Linked DNA regions of Astyanax mexicanus. The protein of the gene in region 1 interacts with the protein of each later gene in a pairwise test. Links are inferred from orthologs where the notes say so. Each region holds a gene or a part of one and is shown on either strand. Other genes may lie near its edges. The genes, in order: bysl, ddx17, thap1 and mipol1.

The links.
Region 2: the proteins of bysl (region 1) and ddx17 interact in binary tests that used the Homo sapiens proteins (3 or more experiments, as listed by UniProt). The two-hybrid records come from large-scale screens. The link is inferred for Astyanax mexicanus from reciprocal best matches to the Homo sapiens genes BYSL and DDX17.
Region 3: the proteins of bysl (region 1) and thap1 interact in binary tests that used the Homo sapiens proteins (3 or more experiments, as listed by UniProt). The two-hybrid records come from large-scale screens. The link is inferred for Astyanax mexicanus from reciprocal best matches to the Homo sapiens genes BYSL and THAP1.
Region 4: the proteins of bysl (region 1) and mipol1 interact in binary tests that used the Homo sapiens proteins (3 or more experiments, as listed by UniProt). The two-hybrid records come from large-scale screens. The link is inferred for Astyanax mexicanus from reciprocal best matches to the Homo sapiens genes BYSL and MIPOL1.

The regions. Positions count from the first base shown.
Region 1 is NC_064431.1:31,842,819-31,850,395, forward strand, and holds the start of bysl (bystin), read right to left. Parts: upstream 3,015-7,577; 5' UTR 2,900-3,014; coding exon 2,638-2,899; intron 1,317-2,637; coding exon 1,160-1,316; intron 22-1,159; coding exon 1-21. Other genes in the region: med20 (mediator of RNA polymerase II transcription subunit 20), read left to right, coding at 4,111-4,124, 5,588-5,733, 6,879-7,132. UniProt on the Homo sapiens protein: Required for processing of 20S pre-rRNA precursor and biogenesis of 40S ribosomal subunits. May be required for trophinin-dependent regulation of cell adhesion during implantation of human embryos.
Region 2 is NC_064412.1:31,361,777-31,368,701, forward strand, and holds the start of ddx17 (probable ATP-dependent RNA helicase DDX17), read right to left. Parts: upstream 3,026-6,925; 5' UTR 2,564-3,025; coding exon 2,508-2,563; intron 1-2,507. Other genes in the region: ntan1 (protein N-terminal asparagine amidohydrolase), read left to right, coding at 5,021-5,101, 5,191-5,293, 5,510-5,575. UniProt on the Homo sapiens protein: As an RNA helicase, unwinds RNA and alters RNA structures through ATP binding and hydrolysis.
Region 3 is NC_064408.1:9,974,257-9,981,790, reverse strand, and holds the start of thap1 (THAP domain-containing protein 1), read right to left. Parts: upstream 3,021-7,534; 5' UTR 2,873-3,020; coding exon 2,802-2,872; intron 1,014-2,801; coding exon 818-1,013; intron 1-817. UniProt on the Homo sapiens protein: DNA-binding transcription regulator that regulates endothelial cell proliferation and G1/S cell-cycle progression.
Region 4 is NC_064421.1:18,849,528-18,857,353, forward strand, and holds the start of mipol1 (mirror-image polydactyly gene 1 protein), read left to right. Parts: upstream 1-4,807; 5' UTR 4,808-5,045; intron 5,046-5,403; 5' UTR 5,404-5,483; coding exon 5,484-5,578; intron 5,579-7,826. Other genes in the region: tyrosine-protein kinase receptor TYRO3, read right to left, coding at 999-1,056.

The DNA.
Region 1 (7,577 bases):
ATTATATCGGCTAGAGTGCGCCTTTACAAAAAAAAAATAAATACATTAAAAATAATTTTTACTATAAACATTGATATTTCTCTTTAAAATGAAGTTTGTGAACATGTTCAAACAAATATATACCAGCAAAATACAGTCCTATATTTAAACAAATCCAAATACATAAAGTAAAAATAAGATCAATTCAAATCAAATAGTTTTGCATATGTACAGGACTTTTAGAGGATTGAAATTACGTTACTCTCCTTCCCAAAAATTACAGCAAGATAAAAAAATATATAAATATAAAAATGAAAGACACTAAACGTACAATACGACATGGACACAGAGAGACATACACGAGACAAGAGACACAAGACAATAGTGCAATAGTGATGGGGGGATTAAAAGGAAATGACAGCACTGTGTTGTAAACAGAACAGAACCTGTATAAACATCAGTGCAAATAAAAGTGCACTAAATACTTTCACTAAACATTATGTTATTTATCTTTCAAGTGAATATGTTTGGAAAAATATATATACCAGCACAGTGCCATGTTGAAAAAAAAGTTAAATACATTAAGTAAAAATAAGATAAACTAATAATATGTTTAATTAGAGAGAATGATTTTTGTTGTGCTTGTTGCAACAATATATTTGCATGGAAACAACCAAAAAGTATGATGTTTTTTCCAACATCCATAAGGATACGCGTGCCTATGCTTTATATTGTGTGGTGTGGCATAGGGATGGGACTAAATATTGATCAGAGATATAATTGCATCTTTTTTGTTTGCAACTACTTGAATTTCTTGTCTCTTAATGTGTTTGAGAGCATCAGTTGTAAAGTAGTGAAGAGGTAGAGTTACAGGTATACAGTGAATAACTCTATTTGAGTACTGTTCTAATCCAGATTATGAGAAGCAAGAAATACTCAACTAAGTAAAAAGAAAAAATACTTTATGACTAAGAAATTAAGTCAATCTAAAAAATTTCAAGAACTTTGAAAGTATCCTTTAGCGCAGCCGCACATCAAAGCGATATGATGAAACTAGTACTCAACAGGACTGCCCCAGGAAAGAAAGAGCAAGAGTACATTATTAATAAGAAGAGCCACACTGCCCTATAGTGGAGCAGCCACCTTGCACTGTTACCCTTGTTGTCCAGGTGTTCTTTACCTCACTGGTGGGTTTTTGTTCATGAACATCTGTATGGCTTTTTCATCATCCGGATCCACCTCCACCTCAGCAACCGCCCCCACCTCATGATCCTCTGTTCCCATGGCACCCAGCTCTGGCCATTCCTCATCAGAGTCTCCATCCTGAGTATGTGGACCTGCAAACAACACATACTGTTAATAATGATAACAGCAATCTATAATGATTTCAATAACATAAAATAATCAGATTTATAACTTTACAACTAGGGCCATATCATATCACAGGCAATAATATTGCCAACATTTTCAAATACAGTTAACGATATTATACCCTGAAATATTGTACCATATCACTCACCACTAATTATCACATTAGGGTACTACTTTTTTTTTTTGCTGTTTTTAGCAAAAGAAAAATTCACACTGTTCTCATTTTACATTATATATCTACTAGAATCACTTGAAGACGGCAAGAAATTAAAGTTATTTTCCAAGATGTGTAGAGCTGTCATCAAAGCAAGAGGAGATACTTTGAAGAATGTAAAATATATAAAACATATTCTGGTTTGTTTAACACTTTTGTGTTTTTCTGCACAGTTTGGAAGACTTTATTATTAAATTACATTGGGGAACATTTTTGAAATAATGAAAAGAAAAAAATAACACTGAATTTAAGGTGACCACAACAGAGCACTTAGCTTGTGTGGTGGGTGGTTACTCGCAGTAATAGCACTGATTAGCATGGTGGTGGTGTATGAGGTGTTAGTGTGTGCTGAGCTGGTACAGTAAGTTGATCAGATACAGTAGTGCTGCTGATGGTTTTAAACACCGTGTTTAATCTCTCACTATCCTCCACTCTATTACACACTCCTACCTACAGCTGATTAGGGCTGCAACGATTAGTCAATATCATTGACAATGACGATTTTTAAAAATTTGTCGGCTCCAAATTTTCGATGTCGACTAATCGTCAATTAGTAGCACTACACAAATTACTGGGGACAAACACAATGTTAGAAGGGTAACTGGGTCTCCAAAAGAGCCCAATCACAACAGATTTCACATTTCCTCACTAAAGATCAGCACCTTCCATATTCAAAAGACAATGTTCTGGATATGTAAAGGGCATTTAAATCCCATGTTTAGCTGTTTTCTATCGTTTTGAACCAATAGTGAAAGCTAGAAACAGAAGCTCTACCAACAGCAAGCAGAGGGGAAGGCAGAAATAATCATTGACTAATCGAATAATCTGAAAAATATTCAGAAGATTAGTTAAATATTAAAATAATCATTAGTTGCAGCCCTACAGCTGCTCCACCTTACAGATAATGTAAAATTAGAGACAAAATATCTGAATTTGTTGCTGCACAGTTTATTTTTTTGTTATTCTTAATCCAGCAGTGACACTGAGGTGTTTAAAAACTCAAGCAGCACTGCTGTCTCTGGTGGTGGTCTATCATGTGATAATATTAATGTATACACGTTTATTTAACTTGCCCAGAACAGTAGAAGGTTTCTTCTTGGCCTCTGGTGTGACTCCGAACTCAGTCTGCAGCTCTTCTTGCTGAATCCGAGCCTGCTCCAGAATCCTCCTGGAGAGCTTCTCGTCCACATAGTCCTCCTCCTCCTGTTTTCTGCCCCGGTTTTTGACCCGGCTGTTGGTTCTGATGGTGTCGGACTGAAGCAGCTGATCGGCCAGGGCTACAGAACCTCCGGCCCGGTCCGGTCCACCACCTTTATCCCTCTTTACCTTCGGCATGGCGACAGACTGCTCAGATATAAATGGAGTTTTAAGTTCTACCAAAACCCTCTGTCGCACACACGTGGGTTTCCCTCAACGCTAATGGAGGTGAGGTAACGCAGGGGGTGCTCTGCCGAAAACTGACAACGCCGAAAACTGCACCCGTAGGACCCTTCGGTGGCTGGTTAGATGTGCCTGATGTAAAAGCGATTTTTTTTTTTTACAAATCTTAATTCTTTTGGTAACATATAGGGTCTCATGCTGTATTAAAATGAAATTTACACAGCTTTATTAGCTAACCACATCAATCATTTTATTTACTACATAACGTGCATTTATAATTTTTTTCTTTTAAATAGTTAATACATAATGTATGTTTTTTTTTTTTTTTACTATATTAATATTATATAATTTTTTTCAGTTTTTGATCACTTTTATACCATTTAAGTCATAATTATATTTTGTACTATTTAAGGACAGGCTGAGATTTATTATTATTATTTTTTTTCAAATTAATAATTTTAATAATAATTTTAGTGTGCAATTTTAGTTTGTTGTATATATTAATGCGTGTATAAAATTGACATTAGACGACTTTAGAATGACATATACACAATTATATTACATAAATGATTTTATTTGCTACATAGCGTGCATTTAGATATTTTTCTCTTTTTAATAATGTATTTATTATTATTTCCATTTTTACAGACCAATTGTTAGTCGTTAACTATTTTTTTTATAATATACATGTTTTTTTTTCGAGGAAAGACTAAAAAGATCATATTCGCCAATACAAATATTAGATTAAAAACTAAACAGAATTATATGTTTTCTTGATCATGTATATTTACATTTACAAAAGTATCTTGTCTTTCCTTTTTGTTTTATGTTGTGTTAATGTTTGTCTTTATAAAATGTTAATAAACTTTTCCAAAAAAAGGTCATTCTAATCAGGCGGTGTGACCGGAAACCAGTGAGTGCAGATTGAGTTGGAATACAGATTAGTATGCAGCACCTCCTTTTAAATATCGACGTTTATTTAATTTCTCCAGGTAATAATAGTTTTAATGTGCGAAAACATTTTGTTGTATATATTGATGCATGTATATGAAATTTAAAATTGTAAAAGTTGACATTAGACGACTTTAGAAAGACTTTTATTTTGTCAGTATCCGGATGAAGTCTGGCTGGGTGTTTTGAAGCTGTTGTGGCCGCGCTGTGCAGAGATGGGAGTTACCTGGTAAGAAGAATAAATGAATAAAAGAGTTCAGTTTGGCGATTTTTACTGGTTTCCCGAGATATAAAGAGTATTAATATATTTGTAACTGACATGTGGAGATTTTCTGTAGATCAGGGTTTTTCTCTTTATGCTGCCTTTGTGATCTAAACCAAAAACTGCTGTTCATGAACCAATATTTGGTGGAATAACCCTGTTTTTAATCACAGTTTTCATGCATCTTGGCATCATGTTCTCCTCCACCAGTCTTACACACTGCTTTTGGATAACTTTTTGCCTTTACTCCTGGTGCGAAAATTCAAGCAAGTTCAGTTTGGTGGTTTGATGGTTTGTGATCATCCATCTTCCTCTTGATTATATTCCAGAGGTTTTCAATTTGCTAAAATCAAAGAAAATCATCATCATAAAGTGGTCTCTTATTTTTTACAGAACTGTGTATATTTTTGAAATTACTAAAATATATATATTACATTACATTACATTTGGCAGACGCTTTTGTCCAAAGCGACTTACAATAGTCAAGTACAATGTAAAATAAGTTTCAAGGTAAAACATCTTTGGATAGGGATAAAAGGAGGACACAGGGGAATAATAGGATAGAGGAGTGAAGGAGAGGAAGAAGGAAATGAGGTTAGAAGTAGTTAGTGTGTTAGAGGTGTTAAGAGAGTAAGTGCTCTTTGAAGAGCTCTGTCTTCAGGAGTTTATTAAAGATAGTGAGAGATTCTCCTGATCTGGTAGTGGAAGGTAGTTAGTTAGAGGTGTTAGGAGAGTAAGTGCTCTTTGAAGAGCTCTGTCTTCAGGAGTTTCTTAAAGATAGCGAGAGATTCTCCTGATCTGGTAGTGGAAGGTAGTTTGTTCCACCATTGGGGAACTCTGTATGAGAACAGTCTGGATTGCTTTGTGTGAGTTTTTGGCAAAGCGAGGCGACGTTCACTGGAGGAGCGCAGCGGCCGGGAGGTAGCGTAAGCCTTCAGGAGCGAGTGCAGGTAGGAAGGAGCCTGTTCTGTCACCGCCTTGTAGGCGATTGTAAGAGCTTTGAATTTGATGCGAGCATCAACTGGTAGCCAATGGAGCTCAATGAGCAGCGGGGTGACATGTGCCCGTTTTGGCTGGTTGAAGACCAGACGTGCTGCTGCGTTCTGGATCATCTGGAGATATATATCATCTGGATCATCTGGAGATATATATATATATATATATATATATATATATATATATATATATATATATATATATATATATATATATATATATATATATATATATATATACTCCCCTACTTAAATAAATACACCCCTACTTAAAATGCACTGAAATAAGTAAGTTTAACTAGTTCCCTAGTGTCCCTGATTATTTCTCAGCTTTTTAATTATGTAATAAGTAGTGTGCAATAGAGCAGGACTACTTTTTATACTTTGTACAGTAGCATACCTGTATTCCAGTGTGTGTGTGTGTATGCGCTGTAGTGTGTGTCAGGTGCCGGTGGCGGAGGGGAAGAGTGTGCAGCAGACGGTGGATCAGCTGCATAAGAAGCTGGAGCAGCTGGGAGGAGTGAAGCAGGGCAGCTTCTTTGTGGACTGTGAGACGTATCACACCACAGGGAACGCCAGCGGTAAATACACTGTATATAAAATACCACCATAAACATAAAAAGTACTAACCCTTTGTTGAATAGCCTACCTCCACTCTCCCATAGCTTTCTGAGATACATTAATTTTGTGCTTTTTGCCCAGCACTCTTCACAACGGCTGCTTTGGGGCATCCACTTACCGACTGGTAATTTGCTTTTAACACCGTTATCCAGCTCAAAGTAGCTCCACATCTCATTGCTAGAATCTGAAGAGCTCTAACGTTTAAAACAAGGCATTAAGAGCTTTAAAAATGCACAAGAATCTTGTTAAAAACCTAAGCCCGAAGCTTCCTGTGCACTTTTTAAATTTCTAAATGCCTCGTTTTAAATGTCAGGGCTCTCCGGAGTCTAACAATGAGGTGTGGAGCTACTTTGAGCTGGATAACGGTGTAAAACTTATTTATCTGCAGGGGCAATGGATGCCCTGAAGCGCACGTTATAAAGAGTGCTGGGAAAAAGCACAAAATTACTGGATCAAGGAAAGCTGCAGGAGAGCGGAGGTGGCCTATTCAACTAAGGTTAGTACTCTTTATCATGTTTTACTACACTAAAACTAAATGTTACCTCAATTTGACCAAGATTGAGGTTAAATCCCTTCAGTCTTCAGTGCCATGCGGCACTTTAGGGGCCGTAGGAAAAATACCGGGCAAAATGAGTAAGAAATAACTCTATTTAACTTTCACAAAATGTGACCTTGTGATACAAAATCAGTGGCAAAATATGTGTACATTTTTTCGTATTTTACCATTGATTTGACAACGAGGCCACATTTTGAGTAAAGTTAAAGGAGAAATCTGGTTTGAAATGGACTTGGGGTGAAGTGAAACATGATGTTCACATTTCACACTTAACATTTAAATAGAGTTATTCACTGCTCATTTTGTCCAGTATTTCCCTTTTCCCTTCTACTGCACTTAGTAAAATAAAAAAGTGAATTTCAGTAAAGATTGTTAAATGAAAAAGGAAAGACTAAGGCTTTAGCTTGTTGTTTTTCATCATTTGAAGAGCCCCTGCTTACAGGCAAATAATGATATATGTAACACATAATTATATATATAACGTGTGTGTGTGTGTATGTGTGTGTATGTGTGTGTATGTGTGTGTATGTGTGTGTGTGTGTGTGTTAGGTCAGCCCTCTAAGCTGCTGTATGTGATGCATAACTCGGAGACTCCGCTGAGCTGCCTGGCTCTGTACGAGGGGGGGCCGTACCTGACTGCAGATGCTAATTTCGACGTCCTGATGGTGAAGCTGAAGAGCCACTTCCAGAACGCTAAAGGTCACAAGGTCGAGAGCCGCGGTGCACGCTACCGATACTGTGACTTCCTGGTGAAGGTTGGCACGGTGACCATGAGCTCCAGCGCCAGGGGGATTTCTGTGGAGGTCAGACTTTAATTCCAGATCATCACTATGAATTTAGGGTGGGAATCAAGTTTTTTTTAGGGAGTTTCTATAGCCCTATCCGGATGGGATTTGTTTCTCAGGGGGATGTCCGTGAAAATTAATACACACTTCTGCATCCGGACTGCAATTGAAAAAACAGGAGGTCCAGTGAGTTTTTAGGCTTTCTTAGTCACGTGACATCGTGTTCAGTAGCTCCTCCATTTCGACTCACTGTTGTGTTTACGTGGATCTCCATGGAAACGCACACCCAAATGTAATTATGGTGCGCAGCAGTGGACAAATAGCTATTTAATTAAACGTGAGGAAACGAAACTCAGAGATGTGCGTCCGGACAGGTCTAAAATTACTGGAGGACCGCACAATTCAGAGAAACGGGAATAAAATCACAGTGGAAGATTACCCCAAAACCCCCTGAGAAACTAAT
Region 2 (6,925 bases), on another chromosome or scaffold:
AATTGGCAACCTGGTAGCACAAAAAAAATATTATTTAAAGCTGATATTCCAGTATGATTTTGGATTTTTTTTCAGACCAAATACACATCAGATGAAGAGTTCTGGTATTCTCAAAATCAATGCTTTATATTCATTATTTCTGTGCAAAATGGCTTTCATGTCATGTTGCCAATTCATTTTAAAGGATAAAATCAGCTCGGGCCAGGCTAATTCCAGGTTTTCCTTAAAGAAGAAGACTAGTACTCTTCAGATCATGTGTATTTGGTCTGGCCCAAGATTAAAAAGTCCTTGAAAATCACACTAGAACATCAGCTTTAAATTAAACTTTTTTCTGCCTTATGGATCGGTATGCCATGTTGCCAGTTCATTTTAAAGTATAAAATCAGCTTGGGCCAGGCTAATTCCAGGTTTTCCTTAAAGTAGAAGACTAGTTCTCTTCAGATCATGTGTATTTGTTCTGGCCCAAGATTAAAAAGTCCTTCAAAATCACACTAGAACATCAGCTTTACATAAAAACAATTGTGCATTATGGATCGGTATTCCATGTTGCCAGTTCATTTTAAAGTATAAAATCAGCTTGGGCCAAGCTATTTCCAGGTTTTCCTTAAAGTAGAAGACTAGTTCTCTTCAGATCATGTGTATTTGGTCTGGCCCAAGATTAAAAAGTCCTTCAAAATCACACTAGAACATCAGCTTTAAATTAAACTTTTTTCTGCCTTATGGATCGGTATGCCATGTTGCCAGTTAATTTTAAAGTATAAAATCAGCTTGGGCCAGGCTAATTCCAGGCTTTCCCTAAAGTAGAAGACTAGTACTCTTCAGATCATGTGTATTTGGTCTGGCCCAAGATGAAAAAGCCCTTCAAAATCACACTGGAACATCAGCTTTACATAAAGAAAAATTGTGCATTATGCATCGGTATTCCATATTGCCAATTCATTTTAAAGTATAAAATCAGCTTGGGCCAGGCTATTTCCAGGTTTTCCTTAAAGTAGAAGACTAGTTCTCTTCAGATCATGTGTATTTGTTCTGGCCCAAGATTTAAAAAATCTTCAAAATTGTACTGGAACAGTGGCTTTTTTGTGCAAAATGGCTCGTTATACCATGTTGCCAATTCATTTTAAAGTATAAAATCAGCTTGGGCCAGGCTAATTCCAGGTTTTCATTAAAGTAGAAGACTAGTACTCTTCAGATCATGTGTATTTGGTCTGGCCCAAGATGAAAAAGTCCTTCAAAATCACACTGGAACATCAGCTTTACATAAAAACAATTGTGCATTATGGATCGGTATTCCATGTTGCCAGTTCATTTTAAAGTATAAAATCAGCTTGGGCCAGGCTATTTCCAGGTTTTCCTTAAAGTAGAAGACTAGTACTCTTCAGATCATGAGTATTTGTTCTGGCCCAAGATTAAAAAGTCCTTCAAAATCACACTAGAACATCAGCTTTATATTCAATTTTTTTGTGCATTATGGATCGGTAGGCCATGTTGCCAGTTAATTTTAAAGTATAAAATCAGCTCGGGCCAGGCTAATTCCAGGTTTTCCTTAAAGTAGAAGACTAGTACTCTTCAGATCATGTGTATTTGTTCTGGCCCAAGATGAAAAAGTCCTTCAAAATCACACTGGAACATCAGCTTTACATAAAAAAATTGTGCTTTATGGATCGGTATTCCATGTTGCCAGTTCATTTTAAAGTATAAAATCAGCTTGGGCCAGGCTATTTCCAGGTTTTTCTTAAAGTAGAAGTCTAGTACTCTTCAGATCATGTGTATTTGGTCTGGCCCAAGATGAAAAAGTCCTTCAAAATTACACTAGAACATCAGCTTTACATAAAAAAATTGTGCATTATGGATTGGTAGGCTATGTTGCCAGTTCATTTTAAAGTATAAAATCAGCTTGGGCCAGGCTAATTCCAGGTTTTTCTTAAAGTAGAAGACTAGTACTCTTCAGATCATGTGTATTTGTTCTGGCCCAACATGAAAAAGTTCTTCAAAATCACACTTGAACATCTGCCTCATATTTTTTGAGCGCAATGGCTTTTAAAATATAATTATATTAAATATATATTTAATTATTTATTGTAATATATAATTATAAATTCAGTAATTAAAACAAATATTTTACAATATACAAAATTATATTTAATAATATATTGTATATTTACATTGTTAATAAACAGATGTACTGCTTTTCTTCATTCTATCTCCTTCAGTGTTGATCTGTGAGGTGTTTAATATAAACAGCGGGTGTTTGTGAACGCTCCCTTTAGTTCACGGTGGTTCAGTGAAGCGGCAGCTGCGAATATCAAACCAACTTCAGCCGGGGAATACGAGGCTGCGAATATCGAGCCAAACGAATCTGGAGCTGCGAATATCAAACCAACTTCAGCCTCGTACTAAAGACTACATCAAATACAGTTCTGTAGGTTGTGTAGATTACTGGGGTTATTTGGAAATTCAGAAACGGAAATACTCAAACAATCTAAATCACAGAAACTCGTTCTTACCCCCTGTCGCGTCCACGATCTCGGTCTCTATCGCCATACGAGGAACTTCCCCTCATTTTACAGAATTTTACACAAACTCCACTTTACACTGCAACTATTTAACTAATTAACCAGCCACTAAACGACTGATATTTTTATACTGTAAATTATTCAGTAAACCAACTAGAAAAATAATAAATATCACTTTATAAGTGATAACAATGAATAAACTTAAAAATAAGCTCAACTTTTAGCTGAGAACTCGGGTTTGGGTTTGTGTTTGTTGTTGTTTTGCTAACTGTTAGCTTAGCATTCTAAATTAACTACAGTCTCAATCGTGAAGCTCCTCAGAAAATCCGGCTGCAAGTCTAAAATCGACCAATGCACGAATAATAACGACCGACCAACCGAATTATTTGATTTTCTTCAAATAAAATTGATCTAAATGTAAACTTTATTCGATAAACAATTCGTCGAATTGTCAGAGTCCGACTGCTTCGCTGAAGGCCGAAGACCCGCCCCCTATCCTCCAGTGTGGTGCCGAATTCCGCACCCCGACACAAACTGCACCCCTAGGACCCAATGAGAGGGCTGTTGTTTGCGCTTGACTCAAAATTGTGTCGATTATATATTGTCGTTGTTGTCACAGAAACATCCTAACTCTAAAAGGCGAACTACTGAACCTCTAAATTATCAAGGAAAAATATAAGATAATATTTATCATAATTAATAAATAATGTCCCCAAATTAATCAACAATTTCTTAAATTTAGAAAATTGTTTTCCCTCTAATCTGAGGGAAAGACTATTCAAATAAAGAGTATTTCTTGTGAAATTGAGGAAACGATGTATTAAAGGGAGGAAACTGATAAACATCAAGAAGGGCAACAGTAAGAGAAATTAAAATACTAATTTGAGTCATTTCTGTGTTTACAGGTGAAACAGGTGTGTTGAAGGTAGTTCAGTCAGCACGTTATCTTTAATAATTTATATGAGATAAATGAGATGAGCTTTATATAGTAAAATTAGTCAAATTCTTGAAGCGACAACTAAAAGGTGTTTTGGCCCGCCCAGACCGAAACCTAGAGGGTGCAGATTGCGACGGGTAACGTACGAAAGCAGCACACCACCAGCAGATACCAGAGATTCTATAGAGAGGAGAAAATTCACTTCAGAATCTCCTCCAGGCTTGTTTGACCACCAGGGGGCGCTCCTGAGTGAGTCCAAAACAGAGAGTCTATGGTCCAAAATGAATGTGTTCATATGGAGCAACTTTTATACTAAAATGTACTCATTTTCCCAACACAGAACAAAGCTTTTAAACTCCACTTTTTTTAGAAAATGTTTTGGCTGTAACTCCAGTATTAGCTCACCAACCAGTCAGCTCACAGTAGCAATAATGCTAGCGTCTTTACTGCCTAAAATATTATTACTGTAGAAAAACTGAAAAATAGACGTGTATTATTTGCTTTAGTAGTAAAATACATAATCCTACGTTTCAAATTTAAAGCAATATCTTGGCTAAGCGGAAATGTACTATTTGTAATCAGAGTTTTTAGCCGTTTAGCTCCATTATCTTCCACTTATTTTGGACTCTCTTGCGGGCTCCCCCTAACGGCGGGCAGCAATTCTCTGTGATTATAACGGTAGCGATAAGAAGTGGGTGCTCTCTTCATAAACCAGCTCTGCAGAGACTGCGCGTATATTTCCTGCGTAGACTGAAGAAATCTGCGCAGTTGCGGTTAATGAAAACATATTTTACACAGAATGCATTAAGCAAAATCATATTAAAAAATAATACAAGCAAAAAAGTACAAAATTATAAAACAGTAGCAATTTATTAACTATTTTTAAATTCATGTTTTATATCATTTTATTGTTGTTATCCCTTCTGCACGTATATTCTATCTATTATAACAACACAATTTTGGCCAAAAAACTAAATAAAAAAAAACACTGGTCTCTTGATGTGTGGTCATGACGTTGAAGTGAAAATACAGGAAGTGCTCCGGTGTTCTGTCGAGTTGGGTTACCTTGTCAAACCGCGCTACCCAAGTGTATATTTAACTGTAAAAATAAAGAAGCCCCATATTAGAGCATGTTCCCAGTAGGAATGTATCCCAGTAAATGTTGCGTTAGTATTTATGGATACAGCATAAATCACTGTGTCATGGTAAAGTTATGGCAACGAGAGCTTATTACAAACTGCTTTTGTATTTTTTATAATAATTATTGTATTCATTATTGTTATTAATTTACATTTACACTTTTTTGCAATGACAGTGAGTTCAATTTGTTTAATGCACAAAAAAAAACACGATAAATAATCAAAAAGTGTAGGTTAGCGCATGTGCAGTGCCTTTAGGAAGCACGTATCGATGGGTATCATAACTGGACAGAACACCGGTTCTCTCAGGCTGTCTGGATGTACTGTATTACAGATTCTAGTTAAATAGTGAGGAGAGTGTGTTCTCTGTAATGCTGAACTTTATTTAGAGCTTCATGTTGAGTTAACGACTGGATTAAAATATTAAAATGCCCCTCCTGGTTCAGAACAGACGGGTCGAGCGCGTGACTTCAACTACAGACCTGTTCCTCAGATATTCTCATCTAAAGGTGAGTAACGTTTCTCCGCTTTACAGCAGTTCAGCTCGAGTAACAGATCTCAGATCCCAGTGTTTAAAACCTGCTTCTGCTTCTTAAAGGAAAACGCCAAAGAGTTCCGGTCCAGACCCGCTCTGACTGTCGAGCCCAAGCGCCTCCTTTACGTTCAGCAGAGAGAATTCGCAGCCACGACACCGGCGGACAGTGAGTCTCTGTGTATCTACAGGTTAACTGTGTTCATCTGACTGTAGTTATTTATCTCCTGTCCTGAAGCCTGTCTCTACAGTTTAACTGTGTTTATCTGACTGTAGTTAAACTTACTTATCTCCTGTTCTGAAGTCTGTCTCTACAGTTTGACTGTGTTTATCTTACTGTAGTTATCTATCTCCTGTTCTGAAGAGAGGTATGTCTCCTCTACAGGTTCTGTCTCGGTCATTGGCTCTGGAGATGCAACTACATGTCACCTTGTGGTTTTGCGGCACACAGGTAGAGACCCAGTTTTAAAGAGAAACTAGCACTAAGTGGCCAAGTTGAATGTAGATCAGGTTTCCTTTACTAAATTGAGCCTTAATCCAACAGAGAAGTAAAACAAATAATGAAGTACAAATTATACTACTTCAACTCAAAAAATGTTCAGAATAAATGAATTTACATTATTGCAGTTATTCAGTTCAAAATGTGAAACTCATATATAGATGTATTACACACAGAGTGATCTATTTTAGACGTTAATTTATTTTATTGTTGATGATTATGGCTTACAGCCAATGAAAACCCAAAAAACAGTGTCTCAGAAAATTAGAATATTATATAAGACAAATTGGTACTTTTGGTAGTGTGCCAAGTCCTGCTGGAAAATTAAATCTGCATCTCCATAAAAGTTGTCAGCAGAGGGAAGCATGAAGTGCCGTAAGATTTTCCGGGAAAACTCTGCACTGACTTTGGACTTGATAAAACATAGTAGATCAACGTCAGCAGATGACATCATGTCTCTCCAAACCATCACTGATTGTGGAAACTTTACACTAGACCTCAAGCAGTTTGGACTGTGTGTCTCTCCAGTCTTCCTCCAGACTCTGCTCCCTTGATTTTAAAATGAAATGCAAATTTAACTGATGATCAGTGATGGTTTGGAGAGACATGTCATCTGCTGGTGTTGGTCCACTGTGTTCTTTCAAGTCCAAAGTCCAAGTGCAGAGAGAGATGCGAATTACATTTTCCAGCAGAACTTGGTACACTGGGCACACTGCCAAAAGTACCAATTTGTCTTATATAATATTTTAATTTTCTGAGACAATGAATTTTCAGTTTTCATTGGCTGTAAGCCATAATCATAATCATTAGCAATAAAAGAAATAAACACTTAAAATAGATCACTCTGTGTGTAATACAGCTATATAAAATATGAGTTTCACATTTTAAACTGAACTACTGAAATAAAATAACTTTTCTATGGTATTCTCATTTTGTAAAATGCACTACTTCGTTACTTTCCTTGAGTTTAAATGTTGGTTATCTATTTATTAATATTTTTCAGATAACATTTTACTTCTTCTCCTTAAATTTTACACAATTATCTGTACTTTCTACTCCTTATATTTTAAAAATAGCCTTGTTACTCCCATTTCATTTCAGCTTGTTTTTTTTTATTCCATTGTTTTGAACCCTATCCAGATAAATCCATTTATACATATAAAGTGTGGTAAAATTTGATTGTGGTTGGATGAGAAGTATAAACATATACCATTCTGACATCCTATTGGTTTATACACGATCCATAACACCTGCACGTCACGTCACACTCAGCAAGAACATAGCAGACGTATGTATCCTAGT
Region 3 (7,534 bases), on another chromosome or scaffold:
GGACCATTTCTGGGCTCGTCTGGGGAACGAGAGGAAATTTTCTCTAAGCTGTGGATTGATAACGCAATTTCATAGTGCAAGGAACAGCAGCAGGAGCTCCTCAGATAATGTGCTGTTCTTATTTCTCTCCAGACAGGAGAGAACGAGAAGAGACTTTTACTCCACAGAGTTGAGCTATAGTTACTCTAGTGTGTTAGCTTGTTATGCTAACTGGCTAGCTGTAGTTAGCAAGCTGAGCCAGTATGCTTCTTTAAAGATTATACACAACGCACTGCAGCATCTCTTGCGGTATGACAGTATGCGAAAATTGCATACCAGTTTTAATTTCTCCTCTGATACACCAGTCGGACAGGTATACTGCACAGCACTAAAGTTCTTTGCCTTAAAGCAACAGTCTGTAGGGTTTGTGGATTTGAGGACTTCTCTGGTGAAAATGTATTATTGCACAGAGCATGTAAAAAAGCATTTTAAATGCAGCACAATGTAAATAACTTAATGTGTGAAATTCTCATCATATGAAAATTATCTATAAAACCCAAACAGAGCAGATACTTAACTGATTATCACTATTTACGTAATACTTCACCCAAATTTCTGCCATATTTAGCTAAAACAGTTATCCCCACCACAGTGGAGAGCATAGCAAATTGTGCTCTCTCAGATTCCTGCTGCTGATGCCGAAGCAGCATTACCAGGGATTCGAACTTGCAATCCTGAGGTCATTAGAGTCAGTGTCAGTCTACTGAGCCACTCAGAGCCCAGGACATATAAATAATATACATAAGGAGGAACTGGGTGTGTTGTGCGGTTTCTGTACCTTTATCTGCAGTTTGTTGAAGCTAAAAAGGGAAGGCACGGCGTTCTCCTTCAGCACTCGGTTGTTGCATTCTCGTTTGAAGCAGTCTTTGGTAAAGTGCTGTGAGCAGATGTTGCTGTATTTGGTGGGCTTGAAGTTGGTCCTCCTCATGGCGGCCACCCATTTCCCACAGATGTCAGGCCTCGCGAGAGGGAACCTGGAATAAGATCCGTAGCATGGTCATATCGGTGGCCATACTTGTAGACCAGATAACCACCAAAATCAAACATAAACATACCACGGTGCATCCCTAGGTCGACAAAGGTTTTCTGATCATACTAGTAATCATGCCAATTATCCTGGTCTACCAGCTTGGGTAGGCTAATTAATGGGCTTGGTCTTACTGGTTAATCATCTTAATTATGCTCGTCAACCAGTTTTGTCATTTGGGTTGAATGGCCATATTGGTGACCTACAGGTGTATCTCAAAAATAGAATATCATTGTTACCAATAACTTTTGTTACATTGTTAGCAATATGTCTTGCATAATATTCTAATTTTCTGATATACTGATTTTTGAGTTTTATTGGATGTAAGCCATAATCATCAACAATAAAAGAAATAAACACTTAAACTAGATCAAACTGCATGCACTGTATTTATTTAATACATGCGTTCCACTTTATGACCTGAATTACTGAGCTTTTCTATGATATTCTAATTTTTTTTAAAATGCACCTGTCACTTGGTCAGGTTGATCAAACTTGTATACCAGCTAAACCACCAAAGTCAAGAATAAACATACCCTGTACAGGTCGACCAGCTTTCTTTTGCTGCTGCTCATGTTGGTCACTCAAATTTGTCATGCCAAGTACGCTGGTCTACCAGCTTGCTAAAGCTTGAACATCAAAATCAAGAGCTTTAACCATGTTGATGGTCATGCTGATGATCCAGTTTGGTCTCGCTGGTTAACCACCTTGCTCATTCTGATAGAATGATCAAATTGGTGACCTAGCTTGGTCAGATTGATCATGTTTGTAGCCCATCCACACCATCAAACTGACACAAAATCATACTGGGCAAGAGCTCAACTGGTCAACCAGCTTTATGTTGGAGGTCATGCTGGTTATTCAGCTGGGTCATTCTGGTAGAATGGTCATATTGGTGACCTAGCCTGGTAGACCAAACCATTAATACTATATACTGGTCGACCAGCTATTTCTTGCTGATCATGATGGTCACCCAACAACAACTGTCATGCTCATGTTCTTCGTATACCAGCATGGATTAATGTGGTCATACTGGTTATCTGGTTTGTGCATATGGATCAAATGCTTGTAGAACTGCTAAACCATCAAACATACTGGTGGCCTGGCTTGGTTAGGCTGACCATCCTTGTAGACCAGCTAAACTATCAAAATCAAACATAAACATAGCATATACTGGTCAACAAGCTTTTTTTTCTTGCTGGTCATGCTGGTCCCCCAAATTAGTTATGCCAACTATGCTGATGCTTTGTCATACTGGTGACCTAGCTTGGTCAGGTTGATCATGTTTGTAGACCAGCCACACCATCAAACTGACACAAAATCATGCTGGTTAAGAGTTGACCATACTGGTTGCCCAGCTTTATGTTGTGGGGTAATTTTGGAAGAATGGTCATATTGGTGAACTAGCTTGGTAGACCAGCTAAACCACTAAAGTCAACCATGAACATACCATATACTGGTCAACCAGCTATTTCTTGGTAACCTAACTTACTCATGCCAATGTTCCTGGTCTACCAGTATGGTTAAGCCTGGTCATACTGGAAATCTGGTTTGTTCAGATTGATCAAATGAATTAAAGACCAGTTAAACCATCAAACCCGAACAAGACAAATACAAAAAGTCCTGTAGTGGCTAAAATATAGACTGGTCACCCAGCTTCACCCTGTGAAGCAGCAGAGCCAGGTTATGCAGACAGGGCTCGCGGCAGTGCAGAGGGATGGATGGAGGATCTTACTTGTGGAATGAGACGTTCTTATCTTTGTGATATCTGTTCTTGCAGCCGTAGGCGGAGCAGGACTGCACCATGGCTGCTGGAGGTCCTGCGCTGTGGATCAGCCCGGCTGCAGGATCAGCTCGGGGTTCAGGATCTCTGCTGTACTTATTCCTCCTCTTTGCTGCTGGAGAACCTCACCAGTAGTACCTCACCAGTTCCTCACCAGCTCCAAGATGGAGGAAAACGCATCCGTCCATGTGATCAGCACGTCGCAACTTTCCCGTGCGCTCCAATCTGCGCGCATGCGCCCTACCTAGGGCCCTAGAAATAGATTTTCCCCTTAAATTTTTATTTCCCTTCATAATAAAGTGTGAAAACTGATGTGACTAATTCAGGATTCAGATGGATTTTTAAGCAATTCCAAACTTAACATTATAGCAACTGGGTCATTTTACTGTTCTACAAGACACTATGCTATTTTTAAGTTATTTCCTGGGGACTGAAATGGCACTGATTTGGTGGAATATGCAAATTATATATATAGGGAACTCCAAAATTCATCAACTTACTAAATCACACAGTGGACTTGAACAATGTAAAAGTAAACAGTTTATTTTAATAATGCATGCACAACTATTTTTAATGCATATTTTTATTTATTTTAAACTTGGTACATCATTCATTCAACAGTATTTTTTTATTTACATATTTCAAGACATTAAACTCTTTAAACAAATTCCTTCCCTCTACCTTACCTGAAACATGGAGCCATTAGTTACAAAAAAGTTAAATAAAATGAAACAAGTTAAACATAAATGATAATAATAATAATAATAATAATAATAATAATAATAATAACAACATTATGTACATTTAGTCTGCAATAATTAAAACACAATTCAAGTTTTCTTTTTTTTTTTTTATAATTTTATTTCAAATTTTTCCCATTTTCTCCCCAATTTACACGGCCAATTACCCAACCCACTCACTAGGACGATCACTAGTAATGCCCCAACACACCAGGAGGGTGAAGACTAACACATGCTTCCTCCGATACATCGAGCTGCTGCTGATGCAGCATCACCGAGCAGCCAGCTCGCTCGGAGGAAAGCACAGCGGCTCGGCTCCGGTACATCAGCTCACAGGCGCCCTGTGCTGCAGACATCACCCTAGGAGTGATGTGGGGAGAGAGCGCCATCTACCCACCCAGAGGGAGCCGGGCCAATTTTGCTCCCTCTAATGCCGGCAGCTTGATGGCAAACAATTCAAGTTTTCTAGTTGTGAATTTCTTACCTAAATATAATTTTATTTATAGAGTTGTCAGGTAACAAATGTAATAAAATAAAAAAAGGTAATACGATCTATCTATCCATCCATCCATCCATCCATCCATCTCATAACAAACCGCTAGATTAAACACTATACATAGTGACTACATAGGGTGTAGGGAACAGGCACGCTACCTGCGTAATGGGACGCAGCCCCACGCGGAAGGATTTCCCTGTTTTGGTGACGTAGATGCGATAAGGAAACAGATCGCTGCTGCGTAGATTCCTCTGAGGAGATCTGAACAGCAGTTAAAGCTTTATTATTCATATTTTACTCTGATAACAGAGATATTAACACCCTGCTTTACTCACTTCATTAAAAACACACATTAAACACACGCAGTGGGCTGTGGCGGATATAAAAACACGTGGTTAAACTGCACGTGCTGCATATGAGCATCCTAACGGAGCTGCTGCATTAACACCTGTGTTCAGATTAAACACGCTGTCTGTCTGTCTGTGTTCATTACTGTCTGTCTGTGTTCATTACTGTCTGTCTGTCTGTGTTCATTTCTGTGTGCTGTCTCTCTGTCTGCTGCCTGTCTGTGTTTATTACTGTCTGTCTGTCTGTCTGTCTCTCTGTTGTCTGACTGTGTTTAATGCTGTTTGCTGTCTGTGTTCAGTACTCTGTCTGTCTGTTGTCTGTCTGTGTTTAATGATGTGCTGTCTGTTTGTGTTCATTACTGTATGCCTGTCTGCTGTCTGTGTTCATTGATGTGTGCTGTCTGTCTGTCTGTGTTCATTACTGTCTGTCTGTTGTCTGACTGTGTTTAATGCTGTGTGCTGTCTATCTGTGTTCATTACTGCTGTTTGTCTGTGTTCATTATTGTGTGCTGTCTGTCTGTCTGTCTGTGTTTATTACTGTCTGCCTGTCTGTGTTCATTGCTGTGTGCTGTCTGTCTGTGTTCATTGCTGTGTGCTGTCTCTCTGTATGTCTGCTGTCTTTCTGTGTGTGTATATGTCTGTCTGTCTGTGCTTATTGCTGTGTGCTGTCTGTCTGCTGTCTGTGTGTATGTCTGTCTATCTGCATGTTTGTCGTTTTGTCTGTCTGTCTGTTCATTGCTGTGTGATGCCTGTCTGTCTGCCTGCATGTCTGTCTGTCTGTGTTCAATGCTGTGTGATTTCTGTCTGTCTATTTGTCTGCTGTATGTCTGTCTGTCTGTGTTCATTGCTGTCTGTTTGTCTGTGTGCATTACTCTCTGTCTGTGTGTATTGCTGTCTGTCTGTCTGTGTGCATTACTGCATGTTTGTCTGTATGTATTTATGTCTGTCTGTGTGCATTGCTGTATGTCTGTCTGTATGTATGTATGTCTGTCTGTGTGCATTGCTGTCTGTCTGTCTGTGTGCATTACTGCCTGTCTGTCTGTATGTATTTATGTCTGTCTGTGTGCATTACTGTCTGTTTGTCTGTGTGCATTATTGTCTGTCTGTGTGCATTACTGTCTGCCTGTCTGTGTTCATTTCTGTCTGTCTGTGTGCATTGCTGTCTGTCTGTGTCCATTGCTGTCTGTCTGTGTGCATTACTGTCTCTCTGCTTGTTGTTTTGTTTGTCTGTCTGTGTGCTTTCTGTCTGTCTGTCTGCTGTATGTGTGTGTGTCTGGCTGGGTGTGTGATTGTGGTGTAAACAGGAAATTTAGATGCAGGTTGAAGCAGGAAACCCAGAGTAGTAGTGGTGCTAACACAGTGAGAGAGAGTCTGAGCTGCACAGTGTGTTTACTCCCCCAGCACAGCTGTGAGGATCCACCATGCTGCTGCTGCTGCTGATCATCTCCCTGCTGCTGCTGCTGCCGCTGGTGGGATTTCAGCCTCAGCATCAGTCTGGAGTCATGCTGAACTTATCTGCAGGGCAGGTAGGCTGTGCTGATGCACTAATTAGACAAAAAGCTTATATACACAGAGTGTTTTACATACAGATAAATGCTTTATTATGTGTTTAATGCTGTGTGTGTAGTTGTGTGGTATATAGACTGCATAATATGTAGTGTTTATGTTTAAAACATATATTTTTTATCATGTATGTAAGTGTTTTACTAGGATATCAGTATCAAAATCTGCTTGACAGCTACATTTCTCACTTTGTAAGTGAGTGAGGACTCCAAAAAGTCAGCCAATCAATTAATCAATTAATCAATTAATCAATCAACTATTAATCAGAGTACAGTGAAGGTGACCCTAATGACCTTTCAATAAAGTTGAGAATTTATAATAGACAGAGATTGAAAAAGAAAGACAAAAGAAAAAAAAATACAATAATACAATTCATAAAATTATTTTTTTAATTAAAAAATATGTCAATTTATGCAAAAAGAACAGTGCAAAAGAAGCATGTTAAAAAATCAAAAGAAAAAATAGAAAAATTAAATAAATGTAGCTTATGTAAGATAATAAAATTAAGATTTAATTAATAATAGATTAACAAATCAGATACAAAAGTAAAAATTAAATAAAAATAAAATAAATAGGTTTAAGAATGATCTTAATATGAAAAAAGCATAAATAGTAAAATCAGTCAGGAAAGCTAAAATAAAGTAAATACATCCAAAAATAATACAAAAAACACATACAACTCAAAATTAAAGGTTAAAACTAATACAAATTAATTAACTAGTTAAATAATACATAAATGTGTTAAACAAGTAAAATAAGTAAATACAATATTCTTAAAAGGCATAAAGCAAAAGCGCTAAAAAATAAAGAGACATTCAAATAAATTAAAACCGTTCCAATAACAGATTGCTTTTCCTAATTAGAGACAGTTGAATATCCGGCCATAAGGTGGCAGTATAACACAAGATCTGTACGTAAAATTGACTAATACTGCGTAGGTCCCCCTCGTGCCCCAGAACAGCTCTGACCAGAGGTTCCTTACTTAAGTAGACATGTTGGTTATCTATGCTTTACTAGAGTAATTAATTTTCAGATAAAGTTTTACTTCTACTTTTTACATTTACACACAATTATCTGAACTTTCTACTCGTTACATTTTAATAAAAATAGCCTCGTTACTCCTTTTTCATTTGAGCTCGTTTTTATTCCGGCTTCTCAAAAGCCCTATCCAGATAAATCTCTCCATCCAGATAGAGTGAATATGATTGTGATTGGATGTAGAGAAGTATAAACATATACCATTCTGACTCCCTATTGGTTTATACTGTGATCTGTCACTCCTGCACACAATTTACAATCAGCATATATGCAGCTGAAACAGGGAACAGCCTAGTGGGGTAGAGCTATGTGTCCACAAATTTGACTGGTATATATATATATATATATATATATATATATATATATATATATATATATATATATGTATACAAATATACATATATATCTGCTGTAATTTTTTTTTTTTGTAATTTCACCGTGACTGACCAAAAGAAATTCTCCAGAATTACTTATAGAGTAATATAAAGTTTCCATTCACTT
Region 4 (7,826 bases), on another chromosome or scaffold:
TGATGATGTATGCACTCTTTTTTTTTAAATAAAAAAAAAAATACAGTTGGTCAGTGTTGAAGAAATCCAAAAGAAAATCAACATTAAGTGTATTGTTCACATAATTTATCACAATAAGATAAAATACCTTAGTTTTGCAGACCTTTCTGTTTCGAATACCACCAAACATGTTACAAGTTTGCATTTTCACAGCTTTAGAAGCTTTTGTACCCAAATCTGTGGTCTCCATTGTGCCAAAACCACTGCACAGACCTGTTCCAGTGCCCATGCTCTGACTGAGGCTAGCAGACGTAATGCAAGCTGCAGAAGGATGAAAGCTCTCCAGTGTGGAGGCAGACTACAGCTGGCTTCTACAGTGCTGCAGCTTCAGCCAGAACAGCCTAATCAATGCCTACATTCACTGCCTATGGAGGAACTAATGTGGGGACACTATTAGCTAGATGACAGATTCAATGTTAAACAAACACTGTGATGCCGAATAAAAAATGAAGATTTTTTTATGTATATGCAAAAAAAGATCTATTTTTTATAAAAGAAAAGGTAACCTAATAATTATTTTTTTAAAGCCCATTCAGCATGGACTGCAGGATTATTTTAGATTGCTGGTTTCTTTTATAAAGCTATAATTCTGCTTGAATACAGTCCAGAGGGTAAACCAGGCTGTTGTTGTTGTTGCTGCTGCTGCTGCGGTTTCCAACAAGTAACTTAACGTTAAAGTTATCTAACGTTAGTTAGCCAACCTAGCTAACCTAACTTGAGGTGTCTTTATTTTTTGTTTAAGTTACTTGTTATAAATGTACTTGAATGTATAAATTCAATTTAACAAAAAAAACAAAAACGAACTAATTTGGTAACTAGCTTATCTAAGTTAGTTAACCTAGCTAGCTTAGCTTAGCTTAGCTAACGTTAACTAACTAGTTAAGTTAAGTGGGCTATTCATTAACATTGTTTACACTCTGTTTATCATTATTTATCCACACAATTTTGAACAAACTTACCGTGAACTCCTTCACTATAATGAACGAGGATAAATATTATCCAAAACTTAATTCCCATTTTAGCATCCTCTGAAACGCGACTCGGTCGCTTCACCTCAGCTGAATCAACAAGACCAGCAACTTTAAACAGGCGCGGTTGCTGAATCGCTAATTTACTCGGTATTCGCAGCAGCAAGTGCCGAACAGCGGCAGCAGCAGCTCCACAGTCCCGTCCCCAGAGTCTCCAACGCAGCCAGCAGCAGCAGCAGCAGAACCCCGCTCAGACCTCATCCCCGCCTGAACACTCTCCATACTCCACACACAGCCGAGCAGTATCCAAACATCCCGGCTTCACGGTCTTGGTTCAGTAAAGGAAACTGGACGGAGCTCCTCACACTTCCAAATGTTTCAGCGCTGTGGGGGAATGTGTGAAATCCCACACAATGCCCTCTAGAGACCATCTGCTGAAAAAACACCAAAACTCAGTGGATCCAGCCACCACCTCAAACCCAGCTCTTACAGAGGGCAAACGATATACAGCTCTAAAACAATAAGAGACCACTTAAAATGATTTTCTTTGAATTTACCAAATTAAAAAACCCTGAAATATAATCAAGAGGAAGATGGATGATCACAAGCCATCAAACCAAGCTGTACTGCTTGAATTTTTGCACCAGGAGTGGTATAAAGTTATCCAAAAGCAGTGTGTAAGACTGGTGGAGGAGAACATGCCTAGATGCATGAAAACTGTGATTAAAAACCAGGGTTATTTCACCAAATATTGATTTCTGAACTCTTAATTTGATTAAGAACTTGTTTTCTTTGCATTATTTGAGGTCTAAAAGCTCTGCATCTTTTTTGTTATTTTGCCCGTTTCTCATTTTCTTCAAATAAATGCTCAAAATGACAATATTCTTATTTGGAATTTAGGAGAAATGTGGTCCGTAGTTTATAGAATAAAACAACAATGTTCATTTTAACCAAACATATACCTATAAATCATCAAAATCAGAGAAACTGATTCAGAAACTAAAGTGGTCTCTTATTTTTTTCCAGAGCTTTATAAGTATATAGAAATCACTGCATAAATATGCACAAATAAATAATTTAACTGATTTTCTCTACATGGCAGTTCCTAAAATCTCAACTGAAGAGTAGGGCCTGGTAGTTGCCAAGTGTACCAACAATCCAAGGCCAAATGTTTGCTTAGAACCAGGCCACAAGAGGCTAGCACAAATTGTGTGTCTAGTAACATGTTTGAAAAAAAGTGGTGGAAAAACAGTTAACCCATACGTACCATGTTAAATATATTTATAGCTATTTTCCTAGCTATAGGACCTCTAGGCCATTGACAAACAAATCTGTACATATCAGTTTGCATTTACATTTTTTGTACACTGTACCCTAAAACCCCACACTAAATAACGTTATCATTAAATGTGGTTTCCTTTAAGAGAAAATCCATCACTATCAAATGGCAAAAATAAATAACAGTAATGCTCTCATCAAATGTTTAGAATTTGCAAAGCAGATATTCAGTAAATAAGGCTTGTTCCCATTATTTGATAAGGGAGGAAATAAGTAGGTAGTGATCGTAGACCTAGGGGCTGGAACTTACCATAAAGTACCTTCTAATTTGGAACAGGATCTCCTCTCAGGAAGAGAAGCAGCCACACTAAATAAGTGTACACAACAGAGATAGATAGATAGATAGATAGATAGATAGATAGATAGATAGATAGATAGATAGATAGATAGATAGATAGATAGATAGATAGATAGATAGATAGATAGATAGATAGATAGATAGATAGATAGATAGAAACACATAAAAGTAAGAATATATTTAAACATAAATGTCCTTAGAAACATACTAAATAATTGTCTTACAATATGTTCTCGTTGTCATCTTGACCTTCTTTATTTCTATGATTTGATGAGCAGACAAATAAAGGCATTTTATCATCTCTCAGGCCTCATCTGTTCAGGCCTTGAAGATGTTTTTGCTGGAAGCTGTTTATGATTTTTATAGGACTGAGATGTTCTGCTCTTATCAGTACACTTTTCTTGTGCTGGGCAAAACTAAAAATAACAATAATGTGAGCTTTGACCACAAGAGTATGAGCTACAGGAAAACAAACTAAACTCTCCTCAGAATGGCCTACATGACCGTTTCACATAGCGTAAGGTTGTGTAGAGACATTTTCTAATCACTCATTTCTTTTCAACTTTTTCAGAGACTTTAAAAGGCATGAAGATTATTCAACTGCTAGAGACTGATTGTTCTTAGGACAAGGAGAGGACAAGATTATATGAGATAAAAACTTGTACACTCATCTTTATGCTGTTGGAGCCCAGTAATCTCTCTTTTCAGAGATGAAGAGCATGGTATTAATATGACATTGTTGATGTCATATCGATAGATGGCATTTCATGTTTTTAAGTTTAGTCATTAATATTAGTAAGTAATTAGCAAGATTTTAAATGAGATTAAATGGCACTAAAATATAGTAATAGAATTGTAATAGTAATAGAAATGCACTACAGGTCAGATGTTTTAGAACACCCCCACATATATCTGATCAAATATGAGATGCACAAAAATATAATGGCTGTAACCAAGTCTGTGTTACTTGGGGGAGGGAGGACATCCAACTAGTATTTGATTAATTCCCACTTGTTTCATGATGTGTCAGTGTGTAAGTGCCAGACATTTAAAAACTGTGGTGACAAAAGAGGGGTTAGGTGTAAAAGCTGTGGATGAAAGCTTGTCCTGAATCCACAACATAAACACTGTAGAGTATGTCTATCGGCATAATGTTACGTCCACATCATGTATTGCACTAATGTTAGTTGCTGTAGTTTAGTGCTAAGTTTAGTTGTAATGTTTTTAAATTTCCATCTTAAATAATAAAAATAGAAAAATATGTACTTTGACTTCCAGTCTCGGAGTAAACAACATTTCCTAAGTTTCAGACACAGTTATTATTTATTTTACAAATACATACATAAATTCATAATGGCTGTTTACAGCATATAGAGGGTAATTATTAATTACTAAAATTGCAGACTAATTAAACTCAATAAAACTTTATGTTAGAGTACAAATCTCATCCCTTATCAATTGGGGATGAGCCCTGCATTGTGTAAATTAGTTAATGAAGTTAGCTAAATCTTGGAAAGCTATTAAAATTGCTTAAGTCACATTTTATTTAGACCTAGTTTTAATAAATTAGCCACACTTGTGACATTATCCTAAAGGTGTAGAATCAAATGATCTGTTCAGCTGAGGGTGTAGGAAATTTTATGTAGGTGGTTATTTTAGGAAGGTAACAATATGAAAAATATTAGATTTAATTAATATTATTAATTCCTGAGCAGTCAGCATGTGTCTTCAGTTCCTTATAAATAAAACAGTGTGAAGGTTGTAAAGTCACATATCTGTTAAACATGCAGCAGCTACAAATAACAAATACAAATAACTGAAATGTATAAATCATTTAAAAGCATGTTAAAAATAAAAAAGGGTTTGTTGGGTTAGTTAAACACTTTAAAGGATTATTAAAAAGAATCGTTGCCAAAAGCACATGCTTACATAAAAAATATATATATAATGTACACGATCTAGAGTGAAGGTTAACATTCCTCTATGTTTCTAAAATGTGTTTATTCAGAGAAAGTTGTATTGTTACAGATTGGTGTAATCAATTTCAAAAACTATGCTTTAGAGACAAAATGCAGGTTATACTGAAATTTACCCATAGGACCCTTAAACCTTGTGTAGTGCACTAGGTAGCTGGTGATTATATAGGGAGCGATAGGTCGTTTGAGATTCGCCCAGACCTAGTTTGAGATGAGCGTTTTCCAAAACCCATCGTCTGTCCTCCTCTAGTGGACAGATCGCGTATCATCAGGTTTTCTGCTCTGTTCACTTCCCCCACTGCTCTCCTCTGGGCTGTGATCCGGAGCCTGTCCCGGGCTGTACTGTAGGAAGTCTCTCCGTGACTTTTACACAGTAGTGTAGGTAACGTACACAGAAAGTCAGCCATGCTCGCCGTGGTTTCCATGGTAAGTTACAAAGCCATGTTGATTGCGAGTCACTGAATGCTAACTTTCACTTTGATATTCAGCTCATAAACGGAATAATAACTTGCTCACAAATAAGTTTTGACAGTGAACGTAGTTAACTAGGTAAACTAGTGAACGAAATCACAGGTTATGTGTGGTATTGTTGTAACGTTAGTTAGCTAACTAGCTAGCCAACTGAGCTAGCAGTGAAGCTAAGTTAGTAAGCTAGGTGAGCTAACTTAGCTAACTTAGTAAAACTGGTTGCTAAAACTTTATACGTGTTTTATTTTGTGCTCTGCTTGTGTGTCACCGGCTCCCCGTCCAAAGGGGGTTTGTTGTTTCTCTCCTGTGTATCAAGTTGCCTGTAGGTTAAGTGTAAACGGAGACGCTGCGTGTAAAGTCCTGCTGTCAGATAGAGTTATCTTTCAGTTCTGACTCATGAATTTAAGGAGCATGGCACACGACGTTAAAAGCGCTGTCCAAAGGGCGAAACATAAAATATCAAGTCTGGAGAATGAGCTGTATTGTGCGAGGTGAGTGCTGGAGTGTTTAACAACTTTCTGAAGCTCGGTGTGAAACAAGAAAAAAGAAAGACTGAGTAAAACACACAGACACACACACAGCAGACGTTTGGTCTAGTGGAGCTATGGTTATAAATTTATTGGTTGTTCCTTTTTTTGCACTAACTGAGTCTCAAACTGAACTTAAGGGATCTTATTTGTTTTCTTGGCTTCTTTTGTGGGATATTGTAATAATTAAGAGTATTTAACACATTTGACCAACACTGCAAGCCAGCTAGTAATACCAACAGTGTTGATTGTTAGTGTGTAGTGTCTTTATAATATTTAACTTATATATAAATCACTTGAGACAAATATATTTACATTACATTGTCTAAACAAAGACTTTTAGGGTTTTGATGTGAAATTGTTCATTGTGTAATAGAATTACTAGGGTCTGCTTCCAAAATGTATGTATGTATGTAAGTAGTGGTATCTGACAACAAAAAGTATGAACTATTTTCATTTTGATGAATGCCCCCACATGCACCTCCACTATGGCTGTATGCTTTTTTTGTGAAAGAATTCAATGTAAAAGTAAAGCACCATTATTTTATATTTCACAGAGGTGTATATTAAAGAAGTATAATTGCTGCACTAAAATGTGTACCTGCACTCTACTGGGTAATTATTCTTTTTTACAAAAGATGTTGAGTACTTAAATACTTCCGCAAGTGTGATGCTTAAAGAACACTTCATCTACTACTTAAGTCCATTTTTGATAAAGCACTTGAGCTTTTACTCAAATCTCATTTCATGAACTGAAAAAGTATAGAAAAATAGTAATAGCAAATTATTTTCACAGATGTCTCACCTTGCAGAAATTTAATTGTTGTGAGGAGTTTGCTTGTAAGATGTCCTTCTCTTCACTGTTCTATTAAAGAACACTGCACAGTAGAATAGTGCATCTCCACTCCTGCGTCGCTTTAACCTTCGTGAAGGGCGTTGCTATCACATGCGGATTTGTTTCACCTTTCTTGCTAACATTGACTTCCACAGTTTCCTTAACTGCTATTGAATTAATTTATCAGCTGAGAGCACTTTAATTCTTTTTTATGCGCTTGCCCTGCTTTGTGGACATCAGTTAGCTGCTAAGAGAAGTCCAAAGTTATTGAGAACTCAAGGTTTGCCATTTAAGAAACGTATCATGCCCCAGAATTATAATATGCAGCTTCCTTATGATGAGCATTACCTGCCAAACCTGTACTAATTAATTGCTAGTTTAAAAGTACAGATCCTGAATACTTGAAATGTTTTTCAACCTCTCTTTGTCCCTCAGAACAGGTGTTTTTTGTTACTTTGTGTTTGATAGCTTTGTAAATGTGCTCTAATGTTTTGCTTGCATTTAATTAATTTTCTGGAGCTCCAGTTTTAACAGTTGTGGGTCTGTGAACCCCAAATTCTTTGTTCGGATTTGTATTCATTTTGCCACTTTTTTACTACTGCAAAGTTCTGCTGCTGCTGCCACTTAAAATACCTGTTCATCTGTTAAAGAAAACACTGAACAATGACTTTAAATAAACGCCTCCTTGTTCAATATAAACTATTCAGTCTTTTAATTTATTAACGTTTTTTCTGGGGAACATGTTCGGTTGCCAAACAGTTCTCTAACCCTTTTTATGCCTTGGAATAAACCAATAGTTTATGGTAACTTCGTTATGGTTGTACAGTAAAAGTTGTTCCATTTTTCAGGCAGCTGTGATTTTGTTGCTATAATAATCCAATAAATGCTGTGTATGGTAAGTGGTTGCTATGGTATTCCAGATACTTCCTATTGTGTTGCCATGATATTGGTAGATGGTAGTTTCTAAGGTTTTGCCAAGTGTTGCTACATGCTGTATTGTATTGTGTTGCTATGTAACTGTTATGGCATTGCTGTGTGGTTGCTATGTGCTTGCTGTGGTATTCCAGGTAGTTGATAGGTTGTTGCTGGCTTTGCTCTATTTTCTGGCTCAAACATACATAGTCCAAGCAGAGTAAAGACTTTTGGCACCACTAACCAGATACCCCTCGAGAGAGTACATACAGTGATAATGGAGCAAATGGAGCAGACTGGATTTAACCATGACCTAAAGTACAGTATTAGCATTTGTTGTTGCTAAAGGAACTATGTGGTGGAATGACTTGGTGATGGAGAGTTTAGCGATAGATCTGCAGCCGTTTTTGACCAAAGTTTTTGTATCATAGCTAGAGTAGCAAACGTTGTGCATCCCATTCATTC